2 linked regions of the Tamandua tetradactyla genome follow. The protein of the gene in region 1 purifies or fractionates together with the protein of each later gene. This does not show direct contact. Links are inferred from orthologs where the notes say so. Each region holds a gene or a part of one and is shown in the gene's direction. Other genes may lie near its edges.

Region 1 (9,976 bases):
ATTTTGAAATGATCAAGTCAGATGCTGCGAGAAAGCTGGAGTTCACTAAGGGGCTGCGAGGGTGCCTAAGAGAGGGTCTCAAAGGAGGGTGGGGGAGACTGGAAGTCAAGACAGTCTGCCTGGGTCTGCCACTTACTAGCTGGGACCTGGGACAAGTCGCTTAACTCTTTCTTGCTCCTTTCCCTGGATAAGGTGGGGACAATGGTCAGTATAGGTTAGGGTATGCTGCTGTGACAATCCCAAATTCCTCGGGTTTAATAAAACTGTATTTTCCAACATTGTATATCCATCAAGGGTGGCCTGGGGCCTCTGCTCATTGTAATCCCCAAGGACCCAGGCTGCAGGGAACGACTGCTCTCTTCTTTTAAAACTATTTTCATTGAGCTATCTTGACACACATACAGTCCATCCAAGGTACACAATGGCTCACAATAGCATCACATAGTTGTGTATGCATCACCATGATCACTTTGGAACATCTGTATCACTCCAGAAAAAGAAACAAAAAGAAAAAACGCACTCCAGAAAAGAAATAAAAAGACAAAGGAAAAGACTCATACATCCCATATCCCTTACCCCTCCCTATCATTGACCACTAGTATTTCCATCTACCCAATTTTTATCCTTTATCTCCGCCATTATTTATTTTTTTATTCTTATTTTCTTACTCATCTGCCTATACCGTGGATAAAGGTAGTGTCGGCCATAAGGCTTTCACAATTACATGGTCACACTGTAAAAGCTCTATAGTTATACAATCATCTTCAAGATTCAGGAAAAGGGGTTTTCAATAAAAATGGATTTTTCTTGAATAAATGAATGGAATGAAATCGATTCAAGAAAAATGAATTTCCCAAGACCACAGTCACATTGTAAAAGTTGTATCTTTAGATGATCCTCTTCAAGAATCAAGGCTAGGGGAACACTGCTCAACAGTTTCAGGTAACTTCCCCAAGCCACTCCATTCCACCATAAATGAAAACTGCACGTCCCTAGAATGCCTATGAATAACCTCCAGGATAACTTCTTGACTGTTTGAAATCTCTCAGCCACTGACACTTTACTTTGTCTCATTTTTCTCTTCCTCCTATTGGTCAAGAAGGCTTTCTCCATGCCACGGTCCCAGGTCCTGGCTCATCCCAGGAGTTCTGTCCATTATTGCCAGGGAAGTTACACCGCTGGGAGTCACGTCCCACGTAGGAAGGAGGGCAGTGAGTTCACCTGCCGGGTTGGTTTAGAAAGAGAGGCCGTGTCTGAGCAACAAGAGGCTCCCTGGGTGTGACTCTTAAGCACAGTTATTAGTAGGCGTAGCTTCTCCTTTGCAGGAATAAGGTCCACAGGGACGAGCCCCAAGGTCAGGGGCCTGGGTGGTTGCTCTCTCAAATGCTGCAGGCTTCCCTGTGGAGGAAGGAAAAGTCTGGGAGCTCCGATGTCGGCACATATGTGGTTTGGTCTGGAAATGATGCATGGCCCCCTCCTCGCAGGTCCTTGGCCAGGACTAGCATGGCTTGGTCCCACTTCAAGGGAGTAGTAGGTGGTTAATATCTGTCGAGTGTTTTGATGTTTCTTGGCATAAAACGGGTGCTACATGGGTGATACCCATACACTATTAATATCATTTATTATTGGGAAGTTCTGTCAACAGAAGCCGCTGGGGGTTTGAGGGTGACAGAGGGGACAGGCTCAGGCTGACCCCCTGGGTCTGGCCACCTTGTGTGGCCCTCACTGCCATCTGGAACCCTGGAGCGGGCCTGGGGCAACCACCCACCCCAACCAGAAGATGCTAAGGGCCTGCCTTGGGGTGGCCCTGGAGGGCACTTCAGGAGCCGGCTTGACACTCATGTCCACCTCGGACCCAGGGGGTTACATGACTCAGGCCCAGCTTGGGTCCCATGCCGACCCCACCCTGTTCTCTATGGTAGTCCCCCAAGGAAAATTTCCATCCTAAAAAGGAGGGGAATTGTGCAAGGCCCTGGAACTCCTGCCCTAGCCTCAGCCGCAGCCAGAACACAGGTCTGGGGGACCTCGGCTTCTCCTCCAGGACCCCAGAGGTCAAAGGGGTGCCAGGGCCCAGGGGCTGGTGGTCGTGCACCCAGACTTTGAGGATCTGGATGGGTCAAGCCTCAAGGCCAGACAGCTCACTGGGGAGGTTTGAGGGGGGAGGGTACTGCTCTGTGGGAGGTGGGGGGAGGACACTGGCCCGCCGGGGGTGCAGCCCGGACCCAGCCGCACCTCTTCAAGCAGCTACTCCCTCCACCTGGCCCCAAACTCTCCCCCACCCCAGAATGCGTGGGACAGCCCTCACCCCACCCGCAGCGCCTGCTTCTCCCCCCAGCGGCCCTAGGCCTCACCTAACCTCAGCAGCGGCTCCTGGGCTTCATCTTGCATTTCCCTGACCCCTTGCCCCCTGTCCTCTGAGAACGCTCTGTGGGCCTCTGTAGGAAGGGGCTAAAAGGGGGTTACACCCAGGGCCTGAGGCGTTTGGGCTGGGGTGGGGTGTCAGGGAAGGTCCCATTGAGGAGCAGACAAGGGGGGAGGCTGCCTTGCAGGGCGTGGGGAGGGGGGTCCAGGCCGGGGAAGAACCAAGAAGTCACCGGGCGAGGGAGTGGGCATGCGCAAAGAGTGGACATGTGCAGGGAGAAGTGGGCACGTGCACCGGGCAGGGGCTGTGGCCCGTGGGAGTGAGGGCCTGGGGAGGACTGGCAGGCGGGTCCCCTGGCCCTGAGCAGGCCCCACGCAGTGCAGGGACAGGTCCGGCCAAACCGCCTTGGACCCCTTCCCCTCCCAGGGAGGCTCATCTCTGGGGCGGTGGGCTGCGTGGGGAGGGGCCGCCCCTGTGCTCCTCAGTCCCCTTTAAGGCCTGCCGGGCGCAGCTTGCTCAGGGTGCCCGCCCCGGACCCGGACCGCGCCAGCGCGCGGGGGGCGCCCCAACCACCGCACTGCCGCCCATCTCCAGGCGGGGCACGGCGGGGCCGCTTGTTCGCGCCGAGGCGCCAGGCGGGCCGGGGTCAGCGCCCGCGAGGTCGTCCCGGAGGGCGGGTGGGCTGAGCGGGCACCGGGGGGAAGGGCCGCCGGCGAAGGGTACACAGGGGGCAGCGGGGAGGGACCTGGCTGCCAGCTGTGCCACCCTGCCTGGGGCCCGCAGGCAGCCCACCCGGCCGCAGGTGAGATGCCACCGAGAGGGGCCGGGGATCCCCTGCTGACGGCGCGGGTCACGCGGCGCTGACTCACGGCCGGCCGGACGGGCCCGGCCACCTGACCACGCAGCCCGGGGGCGGGGAGGGCCCCGCCAGGGGGTTCCGGTGCTGCGCGGGTTCCCGCGCCCCCGCCGCCTTGGGGGAGGGGAGGCCAAGGGCCGCGCTCGGGGCTTCTGGGGGAACCCTCACCACGGTTCCAAATGAGAAGGCGGGAGCGTGCCAGGGGGCGACCTCGGGGTCCCGCTGCTCGTTCCGGGTCCCGACTCCCACCCCAGACCGGCTTTCCTTGTGCGCCCGGACCGGGCACCCCACCCACGCGCTCCCTCCCCGCTCGCCAACATTCCCCCCCCCCCCCCCGCCCCCCCCCCCCCCCCCCCCCCCCCCCCCCGCCTTTCTGCAGGGCTGCCCCGGGCAGGGCAGGGAGCTCCTCTTTGGAGGTCCCTGGGCAGGGTCAGCCCCACCCGGGGTCAGTGCCTGCTGCCTTCCCACAGGCAATCACTGCACCTGACAACGCGCCCTGCCCCCCAATCTCCCTTGGTCTCTGGGTCTCCCACTAAGCCCCCTCTGAAACACCACGAATCTGACCACAGATCTGACCCTCCCACAGGCCCCCCACCTGGGCACTCCAGAGGGCCACATACCCTTCCCGCCAGGTCTTTCCAAGGCACCCCACAGGCCCTGGGCTGGGCTGCCCCAGGTCGCTGCCCTCAAGTACAGTGTTTCTTGGTTACTGTCTCCCAGCTGTTCTGACGCCCCTGCCCTAAGGCCCACAGGCCCCTGGCTCCCAACTGAGGCAGGGGGATCAGCAGAGAGCAAATTCCAAAAAAGCAGGCAGGCCACAAGGAGGGAAGCAATAAACGGCACCTGCGGCAAACTGACCCCACCTGAGCGAGTCATCCAGGGCCAAGTGTCACAAGGAAGGGAGAAGGGGAAGGTAGTAAAATAATTAATAAAAGTTACAAAAGGAACAAAAAACAATAAAAGCATACCCTTGATATTGCTATTATCAACACCAACACCATCCTATCAACCCTAAAGAACACCCAGGGCTCTATCTGAGACCCTACAAAGGTTCCGTGCACTAGGGGAACTTTCCAGAAACTTACAGCCTCCAGATGGTTCCTAGGCCAGAGAAGTCCTGAAACCCAGAGGGCCCAGCCTCTCCAGACATCAGCTGGTTCCATCCCCAACCCATATTATCCACAGCCCCTTCCAACATGAAAAAGTTAGAATCCCAAATACCCCTAAAGATTGGGAGAAGGATTAAAGGAGGAGGAGGAGTTAGAACAGAGAAGACAGGATTTAGCAAATGTTGAATGACATTCAGAGTATAATTGCTGAGTCACTATATACCGATATTTCTGTTGGCCTCCAGGGTCTTGGAGCAGCTAGAAGGAAAAATGAAAAATTGTGGAACTATGACCCACACAAAACTTTAAACTCTGTTTTATAACTACTTGTTAAAATGTACTTGGAGATTTATTGCTTTGTGTATATATATTTCATAAGAAAAAGTTGAAAATTATAATAAAAAGCAAGCCTTCCCACCGTGTCCTGCTCCTCTCATCTCTTTCCTTTTGGGAGAGCGTCCTCTCGCTACTACTTTTGTGTGCCCAGTACAGGAGCCGCCACGGAGAATACTGAATAAACTCTGTCTGCTTCCCGGCTGTGCTGTGCCCTTGAATCCTTTCTCGAGCCCTGGCCAAGAACCTAGGAACCTAAAGCCACAGCTGGCTGGCGCCCACTGAACTGAACCCTGACAGGTGGGCATCTGGGCCGCGATGACCACTCGGTGACACCTGACATCCTGCAGGGCTGGCGCCCCCCTGTGCTCTTCCAGCACCTCTCAACTAAACTGGGGGGCTGTGGAGCTCAGGCCTGAGTCGGGCGTGACCGTCCACCCCGTTAGGGCTCAGGCGTGGGCGATGCTGTGCAGTGCCGGGGGAGTCCGCTGCTCCAGGGGCCTGGGGACCCTCAGCGCGTTAGAACGGGGGCTGCCTGCTCCCGGCGGCCGGACCCACCGAGGGGCCTCGGCCCCCCGACTCTGCTCCGGGGCAGCCGCGAGGCTGTAGTGCTGCGTCACGACCAGGCCCAGGTCTGGGGAGGGGCCTGGGGTCCCGCCCCTTCCCCCGGGACCAGCGCCTCAGCCCAGGCTGCCGCGGTATAAGCACAGGAACCCGCCCTGCGGGGGCCGCCTTAGGGGACCCCTGCACCTGCGGGCGGCGAGGGAGGGGCCGTCGGGAGGAGGCCGCGGGGCCGGGGTCCGCGGAGGGCGGCCCGCGCCGGGGCCCCAGCAGGGCGGCTCGCGAGTGCGGCGGCGGGGCGGGGCGGGGCGACGAGGCTCCGCCCAGGGGGCGGGGCAGAGCGGGGCTCCCGCTCTACAAAGGCGGCGGCGGCGGCGGGCCGGGCGCAGTGCCGGCGCGGCCATGGCGACGCTCACGGTGAAGGCGTACCTGCTGGGCCGCGAGGAGGCGGCGCGCGAGATCCGCCGCTTCAGGTTCTGCTTCGGCCGCGAGCCCGAGGCCGAGCCCGAGCCCGAGCCCGAGTCCGGGCCCGGGCCGGGAGCCGACGCCCTGGTCGGCGCGGGGCCCTGCGAGCGCCTGCTGCGCCGGGTGGCCGCCCTGTTCCCGGGGCTGCGGCCTGGGGGCTTCGTGGCGCACTACCGCGGTGAGCGGGGCGGGGGTCCGGGGCTGGCGGGCGCTCCTCCCTCCTCCCTCCCTCCCCCCACCCCTTCCCAAGCCGGGCAGGGGCGGGTGATGGCTGTGCCCGGCCACAGCTGGGCCTCGGGTGGCCGCCGGGGGCAGGGAGTTCGAGCACAGGCCCGGCCCGGTCCGTGCGGGCTGCCAGGCCCCCCAGCGGCGCTCCGGCCTGGGGGCGTGAGGCTCCCCTCCCCCGCCGGGCACTGCAGATCCCGCAAGGTCGCCCCCGGGGCGGGGTCGGGACGGGCGGCGGACACTCGGGTTACGCTGACGTCCGCCGGCTGTCGCCTCCCGCTGCCAGCGCCGGGGGCGGGGTGGGGTCAGCTGATGTCCGGAGACCGCAGGCCGAGCCGGCGCGGAGGAGGGCCCACCTGGGCCAGGCGGGAGAGACGTGCGAAGCCGCCCGGGTGTCCCCCGGCATGCGCGGGGCAGAGGGTGGGCTGGGGGAGGGGCTGTGAGCGCAGGGCCGGGGGTGGGCGGGGGGTGGGCGGGGGAGGGCCTGTGAGTGCAGGGCCGGCTCCTGCAGGCCGGGAGCTGGGGGGGGGGGGGTTGGGGGGGCCGGGGGCGGGCCGAAAGGGAGGGCGGGGCTGCCGGGCCCGTCCCGTGTCTTTTTCCTTTGTAATTGTTCCGTGGGCTGTAGTTGTTGTCCGGGCAGGACGCTCAGGAGCGTGCAGAATATGGTGGTTTCAGCACGCTCACACATATTTTAGGACCTTTTCATTATCTTAAGGGACAGACCTGTACCCTGAAACACTCGCGTTCGGGTCTTTCTGACGTTTCCGTGTTTTGGCGCTGCCCTGTCCTTGCGGGGTTCAGCTGATGGGGATGCGCGGCGAGGTTTGGGCCGCAGGGTGGGTCCGACAATAAAACCCGGAGACCGCGCACCAGTCACAGGCTCGGAGCAGGCCGGCCCGGGGCCCCCCCTTCCCGACGCCGTCACGGTGGCGGCGGGTCTTGCCTCCCACCCTGCGGTTCCCCGGGACGGGGTCCCCCACGTGCCCCCTGGCACCGGCCTCAGCCCGTTTCAGCCCCGCAGGAGGCGCGGGCACTCACCTCTCTTCCCCACACCAGATGAGGACGGCGACCTCGTGGCCTTTTCGAGCGACGAGGAGCTGGCGATGGCGACGTCGGGCGTGAGTGACGGCACCTTCCGCATCTACCTGAAAGGTGAGGGGCTGCCTGCCGACCCCGAGGCCAGGGGGGCAGGGGCGGTCTTAGACGCTGTGTTCCTGCTGCAGAGGAGGCGCTGGCGCTGCGCGCAGGGCCCGGGGTCTGGAGGCCGTCGTGCAGCGCAGCCGGGTCTGGGGCCCCTCCGCTGCCCCGCTCACCGCCGGGTGCCCAGGCCTCGCGCCGCCCGGCATTGGCCGCGCCCCGCCTCGCTGCACACGGGGTCAGCCTCGGCGCCCCTCCCGCCCTCCGGGGGCTTGTGCCACCAAGGCCGGGGCGGCTTCGGGTGCTTGGGGGTTGTTTGAGGAGCCAGAAGCTGCTGCTCACCGGCCGCCCAAAGCAGCTGGGTCCTGGACAGACTCCCAGGACCTGACCCCACTGGCTGCCTCCCCTCCCCACAGAAAAGAAGGAATGCCGGCGAGACCACCGGCCCCCGGGCGCTCAGGAGGCGCCCCGCAGCTTGGTGCACCCCAACGTGATTTGTGACGGCTGCAATGGGCCTGTGGTGGGGACCCGCTACAAGTGCAGCGTGTGCCCCGACTACGACCTGTGTGCCGGCTGCGAGGAGAAGGGCCTGCACCCAGAGCACGGCAAGCTCGCCTTCTCCAGCCCCCTGGGGCACCTCCTGGAGGTGAGCAGAGTCTGGCGGTGGGCCTGGGGTGGTGCGGGGATGGGGGTGGGGGAGCCACAGACCCACAGCCCCCCCGTCCTTCTTCTGCCCTCTGGCAGGGCTTCTCGCACAGCCGCTGGCTCCGAAAGCTGAAGCACGGGCACTTCGGGTGGCCGGGCTGGGAGATGGGCCCACCGGGGAACTGGAGCCCACGGCCGCCCCGCGATGGGGAGGCACCCCCCGGCCCCTCGGCGGAGTCAGGTGAGGCCCAGGGCGCCTGCAGGTGGAGGGAATCCCACCCAGTGGGAGTGTCATTTCCATTCCTCATGGGGAAACTGAGGCAATGCAGTGCTCAGACCCGAGAGCCCTTCCCGCTTCACCCCTCTGGGTCCCTGTAGCCTGCCCCACTGTCCTCTTTTGTGCCAGCTGTCAGGAGATTCAGCCAGGCTTGCTCACCTTTAACGCATAGTCACAGAGTTAGAAGCTTACACGTAGCTGGTGTCCTGTTTTCAGGGTAGTGTCTCCTCCTGGTTGTAGTAATGTCATTGTGTCTTTGACAAGGTACCGGCTTGGTTTCTGAATGACCTACATAGGCTGTGGCCATTATTTTGGTTCTGCTTGTCCTGGGCCTGTGCTGGGGGAAAGGTGTCCAGGACGTGGCCTCCTGGGAGGGGGAGGGGGAGGGGAGCTTTGTGGGCCTAGGCTGCAGTCAGAGGTGCCCCTGGGACAGCAGGGGCCTTGGGAAGGAGCAGGCAGGACCGCAGCAGGCATCAGAGTCACCAGGACATGTGGTTGGAATTAAACATGCCTCCCACTTCTGCTTTTAGAAGTCAAAGCTGCTGGCCCACCAGAAGATGCCAGTGTCCATTTCCTGAAGAACGTAGGAGAAAGCGTGGCGGCTGCACTCAGCCCGTTGGGTAAGTGGGCTTTCTCCTCTGTCTGAGAGTTTTGGTAACCCCGTACAAACGTGGGGTTTTTTTTGCGACACTGACCTCAGATGATCTCTGCAGAGGAGCGGGTAACTTGTGTGTCCTGGACACTCCCGAGTACTTATTGCCCCACATCAGCCTTTGCCAAGTGCAGGAACACAGGCAGCTCAAGACTGAGCTCGCTGACAGATGCCTGGGCTTTCCAGTCAGCCAGCACGGGTTGGGACAGCAGCGCCAAGTAGGGTGCCCAGGCCTCGGAGGAGGGGTTGGCTGCCACCCATGCCTGTGTACTCCTCTGGGGAAGGCGATGTGAGCCTGGAGATTTACTCAAGGACGTGGGTGACTAACCCTTTTTCTCCCTTTTTGTTTGTAGTCCCCAGACCTTCCCTGGTGTTTCACAAGCGCTGGGCCTGTGCCTTGTGCTGGGGGTGGGAGGGAACCCTGGAGAAAGGCTGCTGCTGGCATGTGTTTGCAGCACCCCAGATTTCAGAGCGGGTTTGCTGGGGGTGCCTCAGCGAGTGTCCCCTCTGTGGTGTTGGCTGACAAGGCGCAGGCTGAGGCCCACCCCCTGTGGCCGCAGGAAGCGTTCCACTGAGGCCAGGACTTGGGACAGGCAGTTCAGCCCCGGGGGTCTGGACAAGCAGAGATTTGTGTTCTGGTTCTTGGGGCTGCATGGTGGCCAGACCCCATACTGGCTGGGGCCTGGGGAGAGGGGTATTTCCTCAAAGCGTGAAAGCCAGTGTCGGCGTCAGCACGTCATGCCCCACCATCCGGACTCCTCAGTGCTGGCAGGTACCCACCCGACGAGCCTCGGGGGCCTGCAGGCCCCAACTTCCTGACCTCTTGGCAGCCCCTTCTCTGAAACACCGTTTCCTCCTTGGCCTCTAGGCATCGAGGTTGATATCGACGTGGAACACGGAGGGAAGAGAAGTCGACTGACATCTGCCTCTGCAGACGGCTGCAGTGTGGAGGAGAAATGCAGCTCTCAGCCGGGCAGCTGCTCTTCCGACTCTAACCAGCCCGATGGGAGCATGGAGGGCGCAGCGCAGTCCTTGGCAGAGCAGGTGGAGAAGATGGCCCTGGAGGCCAGGGGGCAGCCCAAGCCACGCCTGCTCTCCGGGGTACCTGAAGCACAGCCCACCCTGCACTTTTTCTGCCCCCACACCCCCAGCCCCACTCCAGCCCCACACAGACTGAGGGACCTTGCTTCTGTTGCAGAGTTAGTCTGTGGCATCGAAGTCACTCTACAACTTCGTAAGAAATATAAACTCGGTGTTTGCAAGTGGCTGACTGCTCACAGCTCTAGCCCATTGTGCGTGCGCACACACGCATGCACACACACACTCTCACACTCACTCACTCTCCCCAAATCCC
Region 2 (10,200 bases), on another chromosome or scaffold:
ATAGTTATTCCATATCAATGGGGGGTTATAATGTTTGTCTTTTCGTTTCTGGCTTATTTCACACCACATACTGTCCTCAAATGCCATTCACCTCGCTGCATGCCCGTGACTCACAACCTCATTTCTTCTTGCAATGGCTGTTGTTTTAACCCCCCCACCCTGGGGTGCTTTGTTACAGCAGACCCGGAAAACTGATACGCCACAATGTGTTCATCTTCTATTGCTGGATAACAAGTTACTGTTGAACTCAGCAGCCTGGAGCAGCAGCCATTTATTATCACAGTTTCTGTGGGTCAGGAAGCAGGGAACAGCTTAGCTGGGTCACTGGCTCCGGAGTGCACAGGCTGTGACCCAATTGAGAACTGAGCCTATGGTCTCTTCTGTGGCTCGGGAGCCTTCCCAGCTCCCGTGGTTGCTGGCAGACTTCACTGCCTCGCAGCCATAGGACGCCCCGTATCGGACACCTTCAGGATGGGCAGGAGAATGTGACCGCGGAGAAGCTGTAAGCAACTTCCTAAGGGCCCACCCAAGATGACCTCCTTTTTGATGAACTCAAAAGCAAGTCGTTTGGTAAGGTAAATCAGAATACAGGGTAAAGGGTGATATGGTCTGTATCTTAGAACGTCAACTTCTGTGTGAGACCAAAGGAAGAGATGTTTATTTGGTGCAAAATTTACGTTTCTTGGCAGCACACTATTTCCTTTAACCTGTACGGTCAGTTTAGTTGAACATCATAATTACATGGAATCTTGAACAGGGAGTGAGATCTTGTTGGTTTTTCCGGGTTAGTGTGATGCCCCGATACATCCCAGAGTAATTTGGGCAGAGAATATAAGAAGTATTTGAAAAGCCCCCTTGGGGGACTAGAGAGAAAGGAGGAAATATTAAAAAAAATACCAGCCCCTATGAAACATTCCTGCAAAGGAGAAGTTAAGCCTACTTATAGTTATGCCTAAGAATCATCCCCAGAGAACCTCTTTTGCTGCTCGGATGTGGCCTCTCTCTCTAAGCCAAATTGGCAGGGGAACTCACTGCCCTCCCTTTTTCACGGGACCTGACTCCCAGGGAGTGTAACTCTCCCTGGCAATGTGAGACATGACTCCTGGGGATTAGCCTGGGCCCACCGTCCTAGGATTAAGAAAGCCGTCTTGACCGAAATGAAGAAGAGAGAAATGAGATGAAATTAAGTTTCAGACAGATCGTTCCCAAATGAGAAATTTAGAATTGCCATAGTCCAAATACCCCTAAAGAGAGGGATGGAAAGATCAAAGTTGATGGTGGAGTTATACAGAGAAGATAGGATTTAACATATGAGTATGAATGCCGAATCATTAAATTGATATCTATTTTAGCCTGCAGTATTTTAGAGCAGCTAGAAGTAAAAACCTAAAATTGTGAAATTGTAACCCATGTCAAACTCTGAAATCTGTTCCACAACTAATTGTGGTCTTGTGCTTTGAAATTCATCGCTTTTTTTCCGTGTATATGTTATTTTTCACAAAAAAAAAGGAAAGAAGCCGACTGATGATAAAAAAAATATTTATGCCCTCTAGCTTAATATTGCTAGTTGCTCCCATATCTGGAACAACTAGGAGGAAAAATATGAGATCGTATGGTAGCACATGACAAACTCTGGGCTCTGTCCTATAACTACTTGTTGAAGAGTGCTTTCAAAACTATTGCTTTTTTATTTCTTTGCTTTGTGTATATGTTATACTATACAATAAAAAAAAGTAAAAAAAAAACATAAAAAAATTAAGTTTCAGTGGCTGAGAGATTTCAAATACAGTCAAATTATTCTCATGCATTACATAGATATCCCTTTTTAGTTCTTAGTGATTCAGAATAGCTAGAAGGTAATACCAGAAACTGTTGGACTGCATTCCAGTAGCACTGATTCTTAAAGACAGTTATATAACTATATAGCTTTTACAGTGTGACCGTGTGATTGTGAAAACCTTGTGGCCGACGCTGTCTTTATCCAGTATATGGACCGAGGAGTGAAAAAAATGACCAAAAATAAATAATATGGGTGGGGAATAAGGGACATGGGATATTTTGGGTATTCTTTTTCATTTTTAATTCTTGTACGTACTTTTTTTTTTTTTGGAGTAACTAAAATGTTAAAAAATTGATTGTGGTGATGAGTACACAAGTATATGATGATACTCTGAACCACTGATCGTAGACTTTGGATGATTATAGGGTATGTGAATGTATCTCAATAAAATTGCATTAAAAACAAACACACAGCCATGCATGCTTCCGTAGTGGAGGAGGCCAGGAGCCTGAAATCAAGGTGTTGGCAGGTCTAAGCCTCTTCCCAGCATCTGATGGTCATCAGTGACCTCTGGTGGCCCCTGGCTTGTGGCTGCCTCTCTTGTCTCTGCTTCCATCTTCACATGGGTGACTTCCCTGTCCCTTTGCTCCCAATAAGGACATGAGTCATATGGGGATAGGGCCCATTTTCATTCAGTGTGACCTCATCTGGACTTAATGACACCTGTAGAGACATTTTCAAATAAGAACATGTTCACAGGTATCAGGAATCAGAATTTCAACATTATCTTTTTAGGGGTTGTTCTAGTTTGCTAGCTGCCAGAATGCGATATACCAGAAACAGAATGGCTTTTAAAAAGGAGAATTTAATAAATTGCTAGTTTGCAGTTCTAAGGTCAAGAAAATGTCCAATTAAAACAAGTCTATAGAAATGTCCAATCAAAGACATCCAGAGAAGGATACCTTGGTTCAAGAAGGCCGATGAAGTTCAGGGTTTCTTTCTCAAGTGAGAAGGCACATGGCGAACACAGTCAGGGTTCCTCTCTCATCTGGAAGGGCACATGGCAAACACAGGGTCGTCTGCTAGCTTTCTCTCCTGGCTTCCTGTTTCATGAAGCTCCCTGGGAGGCATGTTCCTTCTTCATCTCCAAAGGTCGCTGGTGATGAGCTCTCGTGGCTATGTTGTTCTGCTCTGCTTTCTCTGAATCTCCCATTCTCCAAAATGTTCCCTCTTTTACAGGACTCCAGAAACTAATCAAGACCAACCCGAATGGGTGGAGACATGTCTTCATCTAATCCAGCTTAACAATTACTCTTGATTAAATCACACCATCCAGGGAGATGATCTGATTGCAGTTTCAAACATACAGTATTGAATAGGGATTATTCTACCTTTATGAAATGGGATTTTGATTAAAACATGGCTTTTCTAGGGGGCATACATCCTTTCAAACCAGCACAGGGGGAGACCATTCGATGCATGACACCCTTCAAAATGTCAATCATTGTCATGACTACTTCAAAATCAAGGTCATCAGACACACACTGGGTCTTTCTGATTAATGCACTCATGAAGCACACCTATTATTACAACATCAATTTTTACGGTAATAGTGATAACTTTTTCTGTACCATTGGTTTCCTTTGTAACCCTGTGCATTTCATTTCCTGCCTTTAGAAGTGTTACTCTGTGAAGGGATCAATAGCCCTAAAAAGGTGTGAAACCCCAAAAAGGTTCAGAAGGAGCAACAGGAAGAGAGGAGAAAAACGGGGAAAGGAAGGTACCCTGAAAACTCCCTGAAGAAAGTTGTTGATCTTCTTCCAGGACTAGCTGGAAAAACCCCAACACTATCTCTACTGGTTTAGCTGGGATAAACATATGGTACCAACAGGGAACAAAATGCAATGAGCTGGAATCATCTTTACAGATATCAAGAATGCTGTGTGTCCAGGTGACAACTCTTGTAGCTGCTGAGAAGAAATTTTTCTCCAAGGAAGGATTTGGTTCTTTCCTCAATTAATAAACCACAGTGATACTTGAGCCTAACTTCTTGGGGAAGGAGACACTTTAGTTCTCAAGTGAAAGAATAAACACTTAAAAAAATTTTTAATATAAAAAGTTTAGAAACATATATATATATTTTTTGGCAAAAATAGAAAAGGCGGCCCTCCCAGCCCCCATCCCCCCAGTCCTGAGTGCAGCGGGGACTCCTGGCACAGCACCTGAGAAGGGCGGGGACGTGAGGTCGAGTTCTGTAGAAGCTTCTGAGGATGATCTCAGTCCAGGGGTAAGTTCAAGTCCACAGGGGAGATGGCCAGGAGACCTTCCTGGAGGGGGAAAGAGCCCAGTGATCAGGGAAGGTGACCTCAGCACAGCGGTATCCACCCTGGCCCGGTGAGGTCAGAGACAGGGGATAGCAACGAACAAGTGGGGAAGGGGACATAGACCCGTGGGGGGGGGTGGGGGGGGACGGAGACCCAGAGGTCTGGGGTTTTAATGATGAAGTTTCCCTCAGTTGTAAGATGAGGGTAACAGAACCCCATAAAGTTGTCATGCAGATTAACTGGATGGCTCAGCTACTATCCTAAGTACCTGCCCCCCAACCGCCAATGCTCACCCCAGCTTACCCATTATCCTTATTCAGAAAAATTTTTTTATAAATAAATGCATTTTCGCTGAGTCCCAGACACTTATGTCCACTGTCTCCTAAACATCTCGCTTAGGTGGTCTAAAGGGCGCCCGAAGGCTAGGTGGACACCTCCAACCTCCCACCAGGGCTCCCCACCTCCTTGACCCCCCCTCTCCGAGTCCATTCCCCACGCGGCCACCAGAGGGCGCCGGTTCCCACAGTCAGCAACCCACGTCCCTGAGCCCTCCCGAGGCCCGCTCCTTGCCGAGGCCCACTAGGCTCTGCAGGATCTGGACACTCCTCACCCGCCCCCCGCCCAAATCCCCCCGCCCCCTGCCTCGCTCATCCTGCTCCAGCCACACTCGCCCGCTGCTGCCCGTTTGCGCGATGATGGCTCCATTTCATGAGCCCCGCACGGCCTCCTCTCACTGCTCCCACTGTGATTTACGGGGCGGGTCCGCGAAGGAAACCGTGAGCACTGGGCAGGCGGCAGACGGGCTCGGGGACAAGACTGTTGCTAAAGGCTGCCAAGGTCGCAAGGCCAGAACAATGGGCCCTAATCCAGCCCTTAGAGGGCGCTGGCAGCGGGCAGACAAGGGAGAAAATCTTGATCCTAAGTAGCTGCTGCAAACATGCAAAACAAGTGAGCTCTACACGAGCGTCTGTTAGAAGGTGTGAATGCGGTGGGATGAAGGAAAGCAGGAGAAGGAAGGGAGAGGGTGGAAGGGCAGGGAGATGGCTGAGAATCCCAGTGGAGGTGAGGGGGGCCTCCCTGAGTAAATTAGCAAAGAGGGGAGGCAGAGGAATAGCCGGGAAGGGCACTCGGACAGCCACAGGGGGACAGCCAGGCACCAAATGTCCCCGCGGAGCCAGCACCCTCCAAGTATCCCATCCTAATCCAACCACTCCCCCCACTTTACAGACGTGTAGAGGCGCCAGGAGGGACAGTGGTTAGTTTCGGGGCTCACGGGGGTCATCGGCATGGTAGAACCATTTAAGACAGGAAGAGCCTCTGCACCGATCCCCTGTGCCTGGTGCACAAGAGGAACGGAGGGCTTCAATGGGGGGGGGCACTTGCCAGTTGGAAGGGGAGCCTGAGAAGCCGCCCCCCCCCACACACACAGCTCAGTCGAGTGCTGCGAGGCCCGGAAGGCGCTGCGACGGCTCACCCAGCCCCCGTGGGCCTGGATCCAGGGCGCAAAGCTGTGCACGTGCTCCACGCTGAGTCCCGCCAGGGTGCCCCCCAGGTGGGCCACGCGCCGGCTCAGCTCCAGGGCCAGGGCCAGGCGCGCCAGGGGCTCCGGGGAGGGCGGAGGGGGTCCGGGGCACGGCTGCGAGGCATGTGCGGGGCCCGGGCCGCTCCCGCGGCTGGAAAAGAGCTCCACGAGGCGCGCGAAAGAGGCGGCGGAGAGGCGGGCCAGTTTGCGGCGCAGGGCGGGGTCCGAGGCCAGCTGTGGGGTGGGGACAGAAGGGGCAGAGCCCACCTCAGCCACGCCCCCACGCGGGGGCCTGAGGAGACCTAGAAATTGACTCTAAGCCCCGCCCCCACCTATAACAGCAACTCATTATAAGGCACGTTCTAGGGGCTCAGAGAAATTAGTTCCAGGGGCGGGGTCTAGAAACAGACGCTAAGCCATGCCTTAGGTTTCGACAGCCAATCAGGACCAACCTCTACAGCAGCGGAGTTCTAGACTGTTTATCTCTCAGCCACGCCCCCTTAGTCCTGCCGAGCCAATCAGAGCCCCGGAACCCTAACTAAGGCCTATAAGAACCTGGGCCTCTGCCATTCTATTGTCGTAAAGCCATGTATTCTGCCCAAGCTCTGGAGTTATCAGATTCGAGAGCTCGGCCGCAAGGCATGCCCCCTCCAGCAGTCCGTTCCACTCTAAGCCATGACCTCGCTGAAGTCAATCCGAGCCTCAGATTTTAAACAGTCTCGCTTCCCCCCACCTAAGGATACCTCCTCTCACATATCCAATTTAGCCCAATTTCCTGCCTAGATCTTGCCTCTGACGGCCACGCCCTTCACATACAGGTCACGCCCCTCTAAGCCAATGACAGCCAGTAGCCTAAAGTACTCCCCTGGCCATACTTCCTGTCACTCAACTCTTTCTCTAAGGTTTGTCCCACCCACTCCCCTTCTGACCAGCCAATGAAAATGCAGATCTAGCTTCTCGTCCCAATGCCTTGCCAACCGCCAATTCCCATCCTCCTTGAGAAACGGAAGAGATGGACCATCACCTTCTCGTTGATGACTTCAGCCTCCTCCTCCAGCAAGGCCACCAGCCTCCGCAGCAGGGCTTCTTTCTCCGTGAGTGGGGGACCCTGTAACTCTGGAGGCAAAAGAATTCTGCTGGGGGCGAACTGTGGCTACCCTGCTACCTCCCGACCTCCCGACCTCCCGCGCGGTGCCTCTGCACCTCACCTGGGCTAGGTGGGGATCTAAGTTGCTCTTGGACCAGCTGTTCCAACCGCTGGGCCACCAGGGCATAGAAGTCTGGAGTAGCCGGGCCTGGGGTGAAAGGAATCAGTGACTTCTACATTCTTTCCTTCTCTCAACCATGGGGCAATGATTTCCATTTTATAATGGGGGGGGGGGGACACCAAAGTACAGTGAACAAGCTTGAAAAGACCCCCACACCCTGGTTCTTTCTACTTCATGCCCCCAATCTGGACTTAGAATGTGAGGGCTAAACGGAACCTTGGAGATGTTCCCATCCAAGGTAGAAAAACTAATAGTGTTCTTTCTGCTCTTTCTGCCCTGGGTCTGGCCCACTTCGTGCATCACCCAGTGATCTCAGTGCTTATCTTCTCATTACTAGTCTTCCCAGACTCACATGAGAGGAAACCTGTTCCATTCTTGCTTAAGTCTAAACTAGTCTCCTAGTTTTGCCTTTGGAGAGTGGAGGTACAAGGAAGGGAAAGGATTTTTGGTTGAGCTTCCAACCCCAAAACCTGAGTGGCATGACTGAAAATCATTTCTCCTTCCCTACTGGGGGGCACTTGTGACTAGAAAAGTCTGGGGAGAGGGAGGCATGGATGGAAGGAGAGAGATGACAAAGAGAGAGGAACCAACAGGCCTCTCACAGCCAGCCCAAATAGAGATTTCCTGGGGCAGGGCAGGATGGTGAGGCTTACTGAGGTCTTGAACTAGTTCCTGATCTCATCTGTGCTTCAGGAATCAAGGCTCTTGGCCCTGCTGGTTTCACAGGTGATCTGGGGAAATCTCTTACCAGGCCCTGAACTGTAGCAGGGGCGGAGGGGCAGGGAGCAAGGCCGAGGGGAGTCAGGGGGAACGTCTCCTCGCCCTAGGGGGCAGGGAAGGCATCGGCGAAGGCGGCTCAGGAAGTCGGCTGGCTGCTCCTGGGTGGGACTCCTGGAGAGGAGAACCTCAGAGAGTGACCCCAGAGGCCTCCTGCAAGCAGTCCCTTCTTCCTCCCACTGAGGGCCTCTCCCTGTAGCCCCAGGGACGGGGGAAAAGAACCAGGTATGAAGGGAAGGAAGGAGACAGAGTGAGACCAGAAGCAAGAGTCAGAGAGGGACCCACCCCAAAGATGGACCCTTGAGGGGAGGAGGACAACCCTTCTTACCTGGGTGCAGCTGTAACGGGGGACCCAGACACCTCGCCCTGCTTAAGGAAGGCGGCTAGGACCCTCAGTGTGTCATCCCGGAGCCCCAACTCCTCTGAGCCTGCCATAGGGGCACCTGTGAGATGGGAAGCCAGGCACTGGAACGCAGGGTCCACATGGAAGAGGAGGCTTGGCACCTGAAGGAGGAAGGGTCAGAGGCGCGTCCTCCTGGGTCCCCATGGGAGGAGTGGGGACTGCGGTTCCTGGATCCTGGGAGAGGAAGGGGCTGGGGGCTGAACTTCTGGGTCTAAGGGAGGAGGAGACTGGGGAGACTGGACTCCTGAATTTGAGAGGGAGAAGGGGGCTGAGGAGGCACTGAGACAAGACTCCTGGATCCTGGAAGAGGAGGGTACCGGGGGCCTGGACTCCTGAGTCTCAGGGAGGAGGGGGCTGGGGGCTCCGACCCCTGGATTCCAAGCCAAGCTACCGAAGCCCAGCCAGGACGGAGAATTACCAATCCCTGAGGGCTTCGTGCCAAATTCCCCTCGGTCTGCGCTCATTTGCTGCGTAGCCTGCTGGGAGGTGTAGTTCCGTATCTGGCTGAGGCTGGAGTTTGGGGGCCTGGGACGTTTGGGTGTCGTTGAGGCGGGGATGCGCTGCCCGCTTCGGGGTCGCGACCCCCTCCTCTTCCCTGCTCGCCCTGGTGCTCGCCAGGGCTCGGCTCACCTGATCCCCGACCCCGCCTCCGCCGCCTCCCGCGCTGCAACTTCGGCAAACTTTCGAAGTTACCGTTCCCACGCCTGCGCACTGGGCGGGGTGGGCGGCACCAAGACAGGGCAGGGCCAGAGCGCCGGCTGCCCTCTTATTTGCATATGCATTCCCAGCATGCCTTGCCTGTGACCGGATTGCCTAAAAAGATCCGGAGGGTGTGCATATCATTATACCCAAATTATATAAAGGGTTTTATCCCAAGACGTCGGTAGCAAAGAAAGTCCCACGGCTCTGACGTCCGGCTGGAGGGAAGTCAGGTGCGCCGCTTGGAGTTGGAGAGCTATCCCGGAGCCCAGAAGACAGAGGCGAGTCCCGAGGTGAGTAACGCGGAAGAGCTGGGGAGGGTGTTGGGGAGGTCGCAGACTGAGGAGGCGCTAGAGGAAGGGGCGATGGGGAGAGTGTGCACTCTGGGGACAAGAAAGGGCCACGCTGGGAAACTGCGGGAGAAGCTGCAGGAGGCAGTGGCCTAGGTCATTAGGTGCAGGAGGAAGGGACAGGGACCCACGGCGCGGGACGGAGGGGAGGACAAGTTTCCTCTGCAAAAAGAGATAGTCTAGAAAGTGGGGGCGTGCCCTATCGCGCGGGGAGTATTGTGGCTGGAGATCTCTGGAAGCCGGGAGTTGAGGCTGGGATCTTCCGGGGGGAACTCGAGGGCGATCCGCGGAGGTAGCGTCTATACGGAAATAATCAGGGAGGGCTCCGGTGTGGAAGTGGGGGTGTGTGTGCATTGGGTCCTGGGGGAGGGTGGGGCGCAATGGGAGAAGCGTCTACACTGGAGAAGTTCAGGTGCACCGCAGAAATTGGGGACGGTTGGAGATGGGAGGGAGTCCTTGCTTAGTTGGGGGGCTACTTTGGGACGGGGGGAGAAGTTGCTCTCCGGCGGGCCAGCTAAGAGGGAGTCGACGCGGCTGAGGGATCTGCCCCCGAGGTACCGGGAAAGGGAGGTCTGGGTGCGGGGTGCCCGGGCCGCGTGGGCAGGTGGAGGCCTCTGGCGCCCAGGCACTGCCCGCCCCCACCCCCGCGCGCAGGCCGGACGATGAGCGCCCAAAAGCCGCGGATCCTGCCCTGGCTGCGTGTGCAGCTCGACCTGGGGCAGCTGGAGGGCGTGGCCTGGGTGGACGCGAGCCGCACGCGCTTCCGCATCCCCTGGAAGCACGGCCTGCGGCAGGATGCGCAGCAGGAGGACTTCCGCATCTTCCAGGTGCGTGGGCCCGGGCCCGGATAGCTCTGGCGGGTCCCGGCGGGCGGCCGATTCTGGGATGAAGAGGGGAGGCGGGCGTAGCCTTCCGGGCCGGGGTCTGGCGACGGGTATTGAACTTCCGGGGCTGGTGCGCCGGGCGGAGGTGGGCGGGCGTCTGGCTGGGTGGGAATGCCCTTTTCCCACCCCCCACCCCCACCGTGGAACCAGGAAGGGGGGGCTCCGTAGGCGGAGGAAATGCAATCTTGGGACG

What was found.
Region 2: the proteins of SQSTM1 (region 1) and IRF3 purify together in Homo sapiens (affinity purification with western blotting; 4 studies listed by BioGRID). This does not show direct contact. The link is inferred for Tamandua tetradactyla from reciprocal best matches to the Homo sapiens genes SQSTM1 and IRF3.

The regions. Positions count from the first base shown.
Region 1 is NC_135346.1:1,370,727-1,380,702, reverse strand, and holds the start of SQSTM1 (sequestosome-1), read left to right. Parts: upstream 1-5,600; 5' UTR 5,601-5,623; coding exon 5,624-5,864; intron 5,865-6,967; coding exon 6,968-7,063; intron 7,064-7,464; coding exon 7,465-7,694; intron 7,695-7,762; coding exon 7,763-7,934; intron 7,935-8,500; coding exon 8,501-8,590; intron 8,591-9,490; coding exon 9,491-9,723; intron 9,724-9,976. UniProt on the Homo sapiens protein: Molecular adapter required for selective macroautophagy (aggrephagy) by acting as a bridge between polyubiquitinated proteins and autophagosomes.
Region 2 is NC_135342.1:11,483,265-11,493,464, forward strand, and holds the start of IRF3 (interferon regulatory factor 3), read left to right. Parts: upstream 1-6,234; 5' UTR 6,235-6,650; coding exon of another isoform or gene 6,651-6,742; exon of another isoform or gene 6,743-6,759; intron 6,760-6,834; coding exon of another isoform or gene 6,835-6,921; intron 6,922-7,642; coding exon of another isoform or gene 7,643-7,785; intron 7,786-7,999; coding exon of another isoform or gene 8,000-8,114; exon of another isoform or gene 8,115-8,175; intron 8,176-8,492; coding exon of another isoform or gene 8,493-8,538; exon of another isoform or gene 8,539-8,809; intron 8,810-8,846; exon of another isoform or gene 8,847-8,951; 5' UTR 8,952-9,066; intron 9,067-9,777; 5' UTR 9,778-9,785; coding exon 9,786-9,950; intron 9,951-10,200. Other genes in the region: BCL2L12 (bcl-2-like protein 12), read right to left, coding at 4,057-4,107, 5,579-5,860, 6,651-6,742, 6,835-6,921, 7,643-7,785, 8,000-8,114, 8,493-8,538.